2 linked regions of the Rattus norvegicus genome follow. The protein of the gene in region 1 purifies or fractionates together with the protein of each later gene. This does not show direct contact. Links are inferred from orthologs where the notes say so. Each region holds a gene or a part of one and is shown on either strand. Other genes may lie near its edges.

Region 1 (6,165 bases):
CCCAGATGCAGCAGTGTGCCTGGGAGAACCAGCAACAGACTATCGGGGACAGACAAATCTCTGGGCTCAACAGCTGACCAGCCAGCCTCGCCTACCTGGTGAGTTTCCCGGCAAGAAAGACCTTTTCTCAAACACAAAGGTGAGTCATAACTAAGGAACAATACCCAAGAGTGTCGTCTGACCTCTCTCTACAAATACAAGTTAATATCAAAACAAAATCTTTAAAAGAAATAAACCCAAATTCTTTGTCTTTCTTACAATGAATATAAATAAGGATTGGAGCTGTCTTCTAGGCTATGCACATTACGTGGGCACTGTGTACATCATGGTCAGAGATGTGTATTGATAAGAAAACCTCTGTGTAGCAGTTCATCCAACATGATCTCATTCTTTGAATGCAAAACTAGTCACTGAAGTCAGTAAATTAAAGTTAAAGGATCTAATGGTTAACTACCAGGCCATCCTACTTTAAGTTTAGAAACAAAAAGGACAGAGAAATCCTTAAAATCAAATTGAGGAAAGGAAAATCTGGGCTGGTCCTACAGAATATATAGTAAGACTGAACATGGGAGGCCATCAGGGCTTAGCCAGCCTGCACTCAGGACAAATGACCCACTGCAGTTCTATAGCTGATGGTCAGACTAGAGTCAGCCCACTGTGATGCTACAGACATCAAAGGCAGTGTCACTGATTAGACCAAGTTCCCTCAGTGGGACACAAAAAACACAGAGTCAGAACTCCAGTATTCTTGAATTTTGGAGTCTAAAAAGAAAAAAAAAAGATGATAGATTTAAAGTCTCTGAGAGGATGAGAGACAGTGTGTGTGTGTGTGTGTGTGTGTGTGTGTGTGTGTGTGTGTGTGTGTGTGTGTGTGTTCGTGTGCATGCGTGCATTTGTGTGTATGTGTGTATGCGTGTTCGGGTACATGTGTGCCATAGCACCCTTGCAGAGGTTAACTTCAGCTGTCGGCCCCTATTTCCACCTTGTTTAAGATAAGGACTCTACTGGTTTTTTCACTGAGCTGTGCTTACCAGGTTAGAAGTCTCCTCCCTCTGCCCCCAGTTCCCTAAAGGAGCTGGGGTGTTGCAGACATTCATACTCATTTCCTTACCCATGGGAGGCAAATACTTTTACCAAAGACCACTGGAGGCCTCGTCAAGGTTTAATAGAGCAGATACCCAGATTAGCTTGTCCCGAAGACACTGCATGTTCTAATTAGTTTCAAAACTGGCTTTCTTCCACATAGAAATAAAACAATTCAATTGGCCATTAATTTCTATGAACTAGGTAATCTGGTATTTCAAAATAGTACAAACATAAGACAATTATTTTAAATAATATTAAAAACAATTTTAAATATATATTTCAGAATTTATACTTTTAAGTGAAAGGTAAATATAAGTAACAACTGCCCCTCTATTAAAAACCTTACCTTTCCACAACCTAACACAGCCGTCATCTCCTGAAGACGCCAATACTGTTCCTGTTATGTTCCAACTCACCCTCCAGACCTGAGAATTATGATTATCAAACTGAGCCACAATATGGATTTCAAATTTTGTTGGACCACCAGAAGAAGTAAGTTCTTTCCTAAAAAAAGATTTACAAAGTTCTCAAAAAGAGTCTTGTGTGTATATACACTCACACATAAACATATATTTGAACTAAAAAATACAAATAAATACGCTTACCATATTCTTTCCCAACATGTGCACTTATGTCCCCTGCCCACTGCCCACTGCCCACTACCACTCAGCCCTCGGGCTACATAAACACCATTTCATTTGACTTCTCCAAAACCTGGACTTATTTCACCCCACAGATGAAGCTCATTGCCTCTTTTTTTTTTTTTTTTTTTTGGGGGGGGGGGGGAGCAGGGGGAGAAGACACAAATGAGCACATTATTCTCCTAAACGAGGTTCAAAATCCAACAGAGTAGCAGAAAGGAAGCAGAGAAACAAGGAAAGTAACTGGAACAATTAACTAAATCCTCACTCCAAAGGTCACATACAACATTCAGAAGAGGGCTCAGTCTGCAGACCTGAGCCCTTACTGTTCTCTCAGAGGAAGAGAAGCAGAAGGAAAGAGTACTTTCAAATTCTGCATTTCTCTACAACTTACCTCACAGGTTTTAATGTGAAAATTCTTACATCTTTGGTTGCTATTGCCAGGATGTGGAAAGATCGTCCCAAATTTGGAGCAAACGCAATGTCATGGACAGGATCCGTGACTGTCATAAGAGTCTCAGCTTTTGCATATTTCCTAAGTCAAAGAAAAAGTAATTAAAATTTTCAGAAATAAAACTACAGAACTTGAGGCTGGAGAGGCGGCCGGCTCCGGGGCAAGAGCACTTGCTGTGTCCCCGAGCACCACAGCTGGAGTCCCAGCACCTACTCCAGGGTTCCCACCCACCTGCAGCTCCAGCTTCAAGGGATCTCAACCTTCTCCTCAGGCCTCTGCAGGCACCAGCACATAGATGGCATATGTACACTCATGCACATGCATGTACATGAACACACATAAATCTTTATAATAAAAACAGTTTGAGCTACGTTTGATGGGTACTACTTAAGCCCAGCGCTGTGGAGGCAGAGCCAGGAAAATCTTCTGTGAGCTCCAGGTCGGCCAGGACTGTGGATGGAGACCCCCATTTCAAAATAAATGAGTAATTTTTTTAAAAAGTCAGAAATATGAAAAGGTTCATCAATGTATCTCAATGTTTTTCATACTCCTCTCAGTAAATGCTTGACTTTTGCGGGAACACTCAATAGTGGCCCCCAAATAACTAACTCCTAGGCCCAAACTGGAGCCTACAAATGTAATCTTATTCCAAAAAAAAAAAAATTTTTTTTTAATTTATCTATTCCTTATTCATTATCATTAGGGTAGGACTGACCCTAAAGTTCAATGCCCTTAGATAAGACAAAACAGGATGAACAAGGTGGGGTAACCCACACCTTTAATCCCCACATTACGGTGGCAGAGGAAGCAAGTTTGAGGCCAGTCTGGTCTACAGAGTAAGTTCCAGGACAGTCAGGACTACACAGAGAAAATGTTTCTAAGAAAAAACAGAGTGAAAAAAACACAAAACAGAGAAGATGCCTAGAGTGGCTGCCACAGTCCAGGATCCTAGGCTCAAAAGCTAAAAGATTGCCTCAGAGCACAACCAAACCAACAACTGGATTTCAGATCTCCGAACCCCACCAACAGGTTACCAGTCCATAAAAATACTTAATCAAAACTTAGCTCAAATAAAATCTGGCTTCATTAGCCTTTTTTGTTTTCCTTTTTTTGTTAAAAAAGGGTAAGAGCCTAGCATAGTGGTTCATGCCTTTAATCCCACACTCCACAGGGAGGGAGACCTGTAGGACTTCAGCCTGGTCTAGATAGTGAGCTCTCAGACAGGAAGGAGGGAAGGGAGAGTTGGCTGATGGCATACACCTATGACCTCAGCTTTTAGGACGTACACAAAAAGATCACTGAGTTCCTGGCCAGCCTGGGCAACATACCAAGTTCCTTTAAAGAGGAAAAAGTTAAAGGTACTTGTAATGAGAATTTTACTTTCATTGAAAAACAAAAATATTATGGGACTATATTTATCCTGGGCGTGGGATACGGAGCCTCAGAGCCCACAGCCCGAGACTATGCTTTCCTTCCTTGAGCTCTAGCAGAGCCATGACTTTGCCAGCTGCTGATAGGAGAGTTTCTGTAATTATGTAATGTTTAGAATTCTAAGGACTTTTGAGAAAGTATGTAAATGCTAGGGCCCTGAGAGGTGGGTGGGTTGGGGAGGGGACTGTTGGTAAGTTGCCGTTGACTGCTGTCCATCATTTTGTTAAGCAGTCACTAGCAAAGAAACAAGAGGAAATTGGATATCCTTAGAGCCAAAATCAAAAGTGGGAAGTAGCCTAATGGCAATGTTGTCCGGATCCCTCTATCCTTTTCTTTCCTGCCTAGGGTTAGAGGGGGAAAGCTATTGCAAGAGAGACCTGGGTGTGGTGGTACACAGATACAATCAAGCAGAAAGAGCACGATGAGTTCAAGGGCAGCCTGATTTACACAGTAAGACCCTGGCTCAAAAAAAATCAAGAACCTAAATGGTAGCCAGCTTGCCTAGCATGAGTAAAAACTGAAGGTGACTGCAATATCTTATCCTCACATTGTGTTCTGTAGCAGTAAACAGAATAAGATGACAATGAATTGGTCATGGAGGTTCACAACTTCAATCCCAGCACTCAAGAAGCAGAGGCAGGTAGTGGATTCCCAGGGCTCCAAGGCCAGCCTGATCTGCATAACAAGGTCCAAGCCAGCCAGGGGTACATAATAAGACTGTACCAGGAATCAAGCAAACTGTAAAGGGAAGAGGATGTCAAGAGTTTGGTCCTTCTTAGGTTCAACAGCATGGACATGACTGAAGCACTCAGCCAAGCAACCCTTCACGTACGAAGACAGGACAGAGCTCTCCATCCTACCTTTCTTCAATTCTCTTGAGCCTTCACTCTGAAATACCTACCTGAAAAATCTCACCTCACTTCGGCACAGTCTCAGCAGCCTGGGAGCTTGAAAATGCCCTCCACGCTGTGCTCCTGCCCCACCCCACCTACAGAACACTTTGAAAGCGAGGGGCAGCTATCGCTCAGTACTTTACCTGGCTCAGTCAAAGACTACGCTGCTGCTTCTTTTTCTACTACATGAAGAAAATGTTACCATGGTCAGCGCTGTACTAAACAGCCACTATTACGTTTCTCTTTTGGGGGTTGGTTTGGTTTGGTTTAATTTCTTTTACACACGGGGTTTCTCTACATAGCTCTGGTTGTCCTGGAACTCACTATGCAGAGCAGGCCAGTCCTGAACTGAAATCTGCCTGCCTCTGTCTCCCAAGCGCTGAGATTCCAGCTGTGTGCCACCATGCCAAATTACATTCATTCATGTTTTTATCTTCAGCTCTTACTGGTGCTTCTGAAATATTCAAAATACTTCATAAAAACAGATTTAAATAACAGTTGTCTAAAGTAGTTCCTATCCAGAATAGCCAACTGACAGACTTAGTCAGATTTTTTATTTTTTACAGAGGAAGGGGGCACCTTGCGTGCCTGGTATGGAGGTACAGAGGTGATCCCTGGAATTTGGGAGAGACAGGAGAGCAAATAAATCACAGCACACAGAAGGCCTAGTCTACAGAATGAGTTCTGAAATGACCAGACTCCACAGTGAGACTGTCAAAACAAAGAGGTACAGGGCGGCTAACAAAGACCCTGTTTTCTACCTGTCACTCTTGATATTTGACCTAAGACTTCACCACAGGCTGTTGGTGTGTTCAGTTGTGAAGAATGTTAGTGTCAAAGCTTTTGTGTTCAGATGTCCTAAGCAGGGAGATAAATGCACGAGGTACCTGCAGTACCTTGCTGTCTTCCCCTTTCTCATTGTCCCTACTTTATGCCAAAGCCACTGTCATCTCCCAACTAGATAACTTCACCAACCACTCACGTTCCCTTCTAAAGTACTTATCACTCCTACGAAGAGTTAAAGTACCGTTTGGCCCTGTGCTCAAATGGACACGACAAGTAAGACGACACTACAGCAGTGGAACAGGCTACTGCGTCTGCCTGCCTGTCACGTCCCCTCTGCCTGTTCTGTTAAAGTGGCAGGGCTAACAAAGTCTTGTTCCCAGGTCTTATCGGATACAGTCTTAGTCACACGAAAGGCTTTCTGCCAACTTCTACTCACCCCGTAGGTCCTGGGCTAAGTAAACATTCCTAACCTAATCTTTAAACCAGGTTTCCCCACGTAGAAAACTCTTCAACATCCTGATTCTTTTAGTTCTGAAAGCTTGTCCCACTCCTTAGTCTTATGTCCCATTTTCTCTACAAGGTAATACAGGTTGAGGTACCAGATACTATCTATCTCCTCTTCAGTTTCCTCTTCACAAACGGGGTGCATCCCTTAAGCTCAACCTACTCAAAAGGCTGAAATAGGAAAATCGAATGAACTCTCATTCAGGACTAACTGGGAGTAGCATGAGACTGTCTCAAAAAGCTAAAAACAATGGGGCTAGAGAGACAGCTCAGCAGTGAAGAGCACACTTTTGTTCCTGTAGAAGGCCTGGTCTTTATTCCCAGCACCCACACCCACCACAACTGTAATTCCAGAGATCTAATGACCCCT
Region 2 (6,678 bases), on another chromosome or scaffold:
TTCCAGTTTGGTGGAATAATTCTGAGGAATCTGAGAGATCATGGCTGATCTGGAGTTCAGGGCTAACCGCGAAGACGGTGTTGGCTGGTCCTAGGAGCCAAAGGCAACAAGGAGATGGCCCCAGAGGCTCCGACTGGAGAGATTTGTAAGGCGGCTGGAAGCTAATAAAGTGGGAGTCCCCAGGTCTGTTCCATCCAGTGTTGGACTGGAGAGATAACTCGGCGGTTAAGAGCACCAACTGGAGGTTGGGGATTTAGCTCAGTGGTAGAGCGCTTGCCTAGCAAGCGCAAGACCCTGGGTTCGGTCCTCAGCTCCGAAAAAAGAAAAAAGAAAAAAGAAAAAAAAAAAAAAAAAAAAGAAGAGCACCAACTGCTGTTCCAGAGGTCCTGAGTTCAATTCCCAGCGACCACATGGTGGCTCACAACCACCTGTAATGGGGTCTGGTTTGTCTGAGGACAGTTACAGTGTGCTCATATACATAAAAGTAAATCTTTTAAAAACAACAACAGAACAGTGTTGAAGCAAGACACAGATCCACAGGGCCTCCCAGGTGCTGCTCTGGGCAGTGCCTTTCTATTCCCAGATTACTTATGCATATATTGAACGAAAATAACTTGGAGTATGCTTCTGAAACTTGCATACAGGTCCACAAACAGATGTGTCCAGGCCTATAGGAACCAGAGGTCAACCTTGGGTGTCATTCCTCAGGTGTCATCTGCCTGTTTTTGTCTGTTGAGATAGGCTCTCTCACTGGACCTAGAACTCATCCTATGGCTATTCCTACTGGCCAGTGAGCCCCTGTCTGGGAAAAAAGGTGAGGGAATATCGAGCCTCGAGGGATGACTCAGAGATTGGGAACAGTGCTGCTCTTACAGAGGACTCAGGTTCACTTCTGTGCACCCGCATCAGAGAGTTCCCAAGTGTCTCTAATTCCAGTTCCAGGAGACCTGGTACCCTCTTCTTGTCTCTATGAGGATCAGGCAAGCATGTGGTGCACATACATATATATAGGTACTCAAGCAGACATAGAACATAAAAAGTAAATATTTTTTTGGGTTGGGGGGCAGTGGCCCATTCCTTTAATCCCAGGGGCTAGGAAGGCAGAAGCAGTTCAGTTTCTGTGAGTTCTAGGCAAGCCCAGTCTGCATAGTGAACTCCAGGCCAGCCAGGGCTACACAGAGAAACCCTGACTCAAAAACAAAACAACAAAGTAAAAATTCAATTAACTCTACACAGCTTGCTTATATTTAACTTTTAGGGCTTTTTAAAAAAGATTTATTTATTATATATGAATACACTGTCGCTGTCTTCAGACACACCAGAAGAGGGGATCAGATCTCATTACAGATGGTTCTGAGCCACCACGTAGTTGCTGGGATTTGAATTCAGGACCCCTGGAAGAGCAGTCAGTGCTCTTAACCACTGAGCCATCTCTCCAGCACCCCTTTTAGGGCTTTTTGAGACATAGTTTTGTTGGGCTCCAAGTCATGGCAATTCTCTGGCCTCAGCCTTTCAAATTCTTGAATTTCAAGGAGGTGTCAACATACTCTGCTGACAATTTTTATTTAATCCATCTGACTATTATTTTCTTAAAATAATTGTTGGGAGGTGGTGGTGCACACACCTTTAATCCTACTAGCACTCAGGAGGTTGAAGTAGTCAGCTCTCTGTGTGTCTCGAAAAACTAAAAACAGAATTTATTCATTGAATCCCATTACAGATGGTTGTGAGCCCATGTGGTTGCTGGCAATTGAACTCAGGACCTCTGGAAGAGCAGTCAGTGTTCCTAACCACTGAGCCATCTCTCTACCTCTTTACTTTTTTTTTTAATTAATTGTTTATTTAGCTCTGATCATATGTGGTAGATTTTGTTTAACTGTACAGTAAATTCAGTCTTTTAAAAATTATTGTATGTATACTGGCTGCATGCATATCTGCATGTCTGTGAACTACATGTGCGCCTCACATCCACAGAGGCCAGAAGAGGGCATCAGAATGCCTGGGATTTTTCCATGTGTATGTGAGTGCTTTGAATTGATCCAGTTACCCGGGAAGAACAGCATATGTGCTTAACCACTGAGCCATCAGTCCAGCTCCCCAAATCATTGATTTCAGTGATTAGGACTTGGATAAAAATTTGACAGAAAGATTTTTCTTTATTTCCTTAATGCCTGGTGGGAGTTTGTTTTCTGAGGCTGGGTTTCACTTAGCCTCACATCAAGTGAGCTCAACCTTGCTACATAGCTAAAGCTGGTTCTGAACTCCGAATTTCTGTCTCTACTTCCCAAGTGCTGCAACTGCCGGTTTAAGCCACCGTGCCCTTCTTTCAAGTCATGTATGCCCAACAATTTAAGGTAGAGGAGGTTTAGAATAATCCTAAGGAAAGAAAAGTGGCCAGTACATAAAAGGTTGAAGTCCTGTTGTTTTGGGGTGTCAATGCCCGCGACCAATTCCAAAGTAAGCGCGTTATACTTGTCGGAGTAAGAGAAAGGGACTGAGAATACTTAATAACAGACCCTGAGGGAGGGATCCCAACTACCGCTAAGAGCTAAAATAGGATTACTGAGGCGGAGTAGCTCTGCAATCCCAAGAGATGCGACAGCAAGGATCTGCGCACGCGCACACCCTCCCAGCCACCTCCTCTCCCGCCATCTCCCGGGGCCTTCCTCTTGCCTAGTGTGGGACTGTCCATGGCGCCGCCTGATCTAGTGGGAACATTCCGTGAGGACCGGTGGCCCCTGGCGACGTTTTCCTGAGGTGTTGTCTAGGTTAGAATAGTAGGAGACGTGTGTAAAGCTGCAGAGGCCTGTGTTTGGCTGAGGCGAAGGGATTTGTTGCGTTGAGATGTGCAGGCGCTTCGGAAGCCGCCCTGATGGGGTCCTCTTTGGCAGCTGGCTGTGAGCGGGAGGCCTGAGCTGAGAACAGCAGCAACGCGGAGGGGTCCCTGCTGCGGGCGCACCGCACTATGGAGGAGCTCGACTGCGAGCCCGCAGTAACTGTAAGGACGCCCGGAGAGGCTTGCTTGTCTCACTGTGAGGGTTACGTTTCTTTGGTCACTTCAGGCTTGCCTCCGTACATGTGGGACGCATGCTTTTTCTCTGGACACAGTTGCCACCATCCAGAATGTCAGATCAACTGGGAACTAGGTTAGGGCGGTGGTGGTCCCTAGGCTTCGGGTCCTGTGAATACTGGCCGGGCCGCGGAGGCCCCACTGCATCATCCCTTGTTTCTCTAACCTTTCTGCTTCTCTAGTTTCTCTCCTTGGGCGTTAGAATGAGCTTGGTGTAAGCTCCACATCGTCGCTCCAAGAGCTCAGTTGGCTTCTTCCTCTGGCTCAAAGCTTAATAAGTGCGTAATTTATTCTCACGAGAGACTATAGACCACTTGTTTCTGTCGCTTTGTATTCTATTCCGCTTACATAGAAATATTTTAAGGTGTGTGTATATGTCTGGATATGTGCACAGAACCGTTGGATACCATCTAGGCTGCCTGCCTGAACTATGGTGTCCGCAATCACACTTGGAAGTTGAATGAAAAGAAAGCCCTAACTAGGGCTAACAGTTCCTATGCCTTCTGTTTTACTAGTGGATTCCAGGTGTGAATTCCAAGAAGAAGCAAATGTGTTTTGACTGGGGCCCAGGGGAGATGCTCCTATGTGAAACTTCCTTCAACAAAACAGGTAGGTAGTTCTTGTTCACTTTTGTCTTGGTACATTTGTTGACTATCAGGGGCAGGAAACTGAAGTCATTTGGCAACATTTTTTTATGTTTGAAACTGTTTTTTGTTATTTTGAGACAAGTTACCCCTATATAGTCCTAGTGGGCTTGTCTTTGTGCAACATATGTGGGATTCGGAAACTACGTCTTCCAACCTCGATGTCCAGAGGGCTGGGATTTGAGGTGTGTCACACAACACAAAGTTTTTTTTGTTTTTTTTTTGTTTTTTTTTTTTTAATTCTGTCGTCTGTGCATGGGAGTTTTGTTTGCATGCCTATTGATGCACCACTTCGTGCTTGGTGCCTGCAGAGGCCAAAAGAGATCCCTGGACTCTAGGAACTAGAACTGTATATTTATGTGAGTTGCCATATGCGAGCTTGGAAGAGCTTGGCTGGAAGAGCTGCCTGTGTACGTCTTGTTTGGTCGTCTTTGGTTTCTTGAGATGGTCTGGCTGTCCTGGAACTGGCTCTAGACCACACTGGTTTTGAGCTCAGAAATTATTTGCCCTTTCTTCCTGAGTGTTAGGAATAAAAATATGAAATTTCAGCCAGTGGTCTTAGTCACCAAACCATCTCTTCAGCACCCTTCCTATAATGGACCTTTAGACACGAGCCATATAGCTCAGCTGTGGTGACGCACACTCGCACACCTTTCATCCCAGTACTCCGCAGACAGAAGCAGGTGGATCTGTGAGTTCAAGGCCTGCCTGATCGACAGAATGAATTCTAGATCAGCCAGGGTTACTCAGAGAAACCTTGTCTTGAAAAACCAAAACCAACCAACCAAACAAACAACAAAAAGAAATGAGTCGGACTGTGTTGCCTGCCCCAGCTGAAGGCAAACTCTTGGGTTCAGGCAATGCTTGCAGTCGTAGAATTTTTACTGTGCAGAATAGTTGACGGAGGATAGAGTGTTCCCGGCTGCCTGAGATACGATGCCGAACCCATTCTCAAAAAACCAAGGACGTAGGCTGTCGCTCAGTGATGGCATGGGCAGCATGGGCATGCCCAGGAGGCTTAGGGAGAAGGATTGCTTAGACTAGGACCCCATCTCAGCTCTCCACTTGAAAAACTCTCCTCTTCCTCTTCCTCCTCCTTCTTATTCCTCTTCTTCCTCCTCCCCTTCCTCCTCCTTCTTATTCCTCTTCCTCCTCTTCCTCTTCCTCTTCTTATTTATTTATTTATTTATTTATTTATTTATTTATTATATATAAGTACAGTGTAGCTGTCTTCAGACACACCAGAAGAGGGCATCAGATCCCATTACAGATGGTTGTGAGCCACCATGTGGTTGCTGGGAATTGAACTCAGGATCTCTGGAAGAGCTGTCAGTGCTCTTAACCACTGACTCATCTCTCCAGCACCCCTCTTCTTCTCTTTTATCATAGACCTGGCTTGCTTGGTCTATTGCATGCACTAGTCTTCTCTTTCATTTTAATCCTCCTGTCTCATTCTTCCTCTTGCTGAGTGTGTAGACATGTGCCCCCCATGCTCAGCCAGTTTTTGTGACTAAAAAATTAGAAATACTGCAGTGTTTTCTCTTTGGGGGAAAATGATAGATGTTAAATTAGTTTTTGTTTCCTTTTTCCTGTTTTGTTGCAGACAAATCAGAGAAGGTCCCGAGCTGCCCCTTTATTTATATCATAAGGAAAGATGTCGATGTTTACTCTCAAATTTTGAGAAAACTCTTCAACGAATCCCATGGAATCTTCGTTGGCCTGCAAAGACTTGAGGAAGAACTGTCCGGGAAATCCAGGAAAGCTCAGTGAGTGGTGGGTGCTGGAGCTCTAATGGAGTCGTGGTGAGAGGCACCCTTATCCTCCTGAGTGGCGGAGCGCCTTGGAGAGGATTCCTGGTCTCCAGGGTGCCTTCCCAGGATGTAGTTGTAGGTTGGGGAAATGCTGTTAGAAGACTCGGTGGCTTGGTATATCAACTCTTCGCTGTGGAGTCCTACTTCATTTGTGTGTGTTCCTTGAACACCACCACCCACCAAAGTAAAAAGAATATAAATAACACGACCAAAGAAGCCCTTGATTCGATCTCATTCTTGGAAGAGTTAAAAATGAGGCCGGCAGATGTTCGCTAACGGGCAGCCTGGTCTGCATAGTCAGTTCCAGACCACCCAGAGCTCCATGAGCCAGACTCTGTCTCAAGACAAAAGAAATGTTTATAGGGGTCAGCAGTTGAGGCAAATGGAAATAATTGCCTCTGAGGCTTATGTTTGTGACGAGGAATCAGAATTTGTTTTGCTTCCTTTGAGCGCCCAGCTGCTGAGCCACGTCACTGGGCCTGACCTCCAGGCTAGGATTTGTTTTCCTTTCCTATTTATTTATTCACTTATTTCTTCGGTGTGTCCTTTGCTTGAGCTCCGTAAGTAGATGAAGGTGAAGCTGGGTCTCCTCGAACACCCGGGGTGTGCTCTGCTGACTCAGCCTGTGTGTGTACAAATCTGTGTGTGCTCTGCTGATTCAGCCTGTGTGTGTACAAATCCGTTGTATTCTTGAGTTTCTGGTCCTCTTGCCTCCACTTCTCAAGCTTGGGATCATGGACACGGCTGCCAGGTGTGCTTTCATCAGTGCTTGGGAGCATTGCACTCCGGGCTCTGTGGGGCAGGCATTCGCAGTTGTGGAGGAGCAATGGAGAGCTGCATGCTGCCTTACTGCCTGTGGTTTGCTGGGTCTGCTCTCTTTTTTTGGGGGTGGGGGGGCTGGGGACCGAACCCAGGGCCTTGCGCTTGCTAGGCAAGTGCTCTATCACTGAGATAAATCCCCAACCCCTGGGTTTGCTTTCTTACAGCATCCAGGACCCCCAGCTAGGGGTGGCCCCCCCCATATCGATTACCAACTGAGAAAATATGCCACAGGCCTGACTACAACAGCAGTGCTTTCAGCCTGAGCCGTCCATGCAGACCAGGCGTGGTTTATGTTTAACTGTGTGTGTGTGTGTACACATTGTGCAGGTAC

The links.
Region 2: the proteins of Seh1l (region 1) and Nup85 purify together in Homo sapiens (affinity purification with western blotting; 4 studies listed by BioGRID and IntAct, with this or other methods). This does not show direct contact. The link is inferred for Rattus norvegicus from reciprocal best matches to the Homo sapiens genes SEH1L and NUP85.

The regions. Positions count from the first base shown.
Region 1 is NC_086036.1:63,628,945-63,635,109, reverse strand, and holds part of Seh1l (nucleoporin SEH1), read right to left. Parts: intron 2,263-6,165; coding exon 2,122-2,262; intron 1,707-2,121; exon of another isoform or gene 1,591-1,706; coding exon 1,433-1,590; intron 140-1,432; exon of another isoform or gene 1-139. UniProt on the Homo sapiens protein: Component of the Nup107-160 subcomplex of the nuclear pore complex (NPC). The Nup107-160 subcomplex is required for the assembly of a functional NPC.
Region 2 is NC_086028.1:101,302,493-101,309,170, forward strand, and holds the start of Nup85 (nuclear pore complex protein Nup85), read left to right. Parts: upstream 1-2,942; 5' UTR 2,943-2,965; coding exon 2,966-2,998; intron 2,999-3,585; coding exon 3,586-3,679; intron 3,680-5,317; coding exon 5,318-5,480; intron 5,481-6,678. UniProt on the Homo sapiens protein: Essential component of the nuclear pore complex (NPC) that seems to be required for NPC assembly and maintenance. As part of the NPC Nup107-160 subcomplex plays a role in RNA export and in tethering NUP96/Nup98 and NUP153 to the nucleus.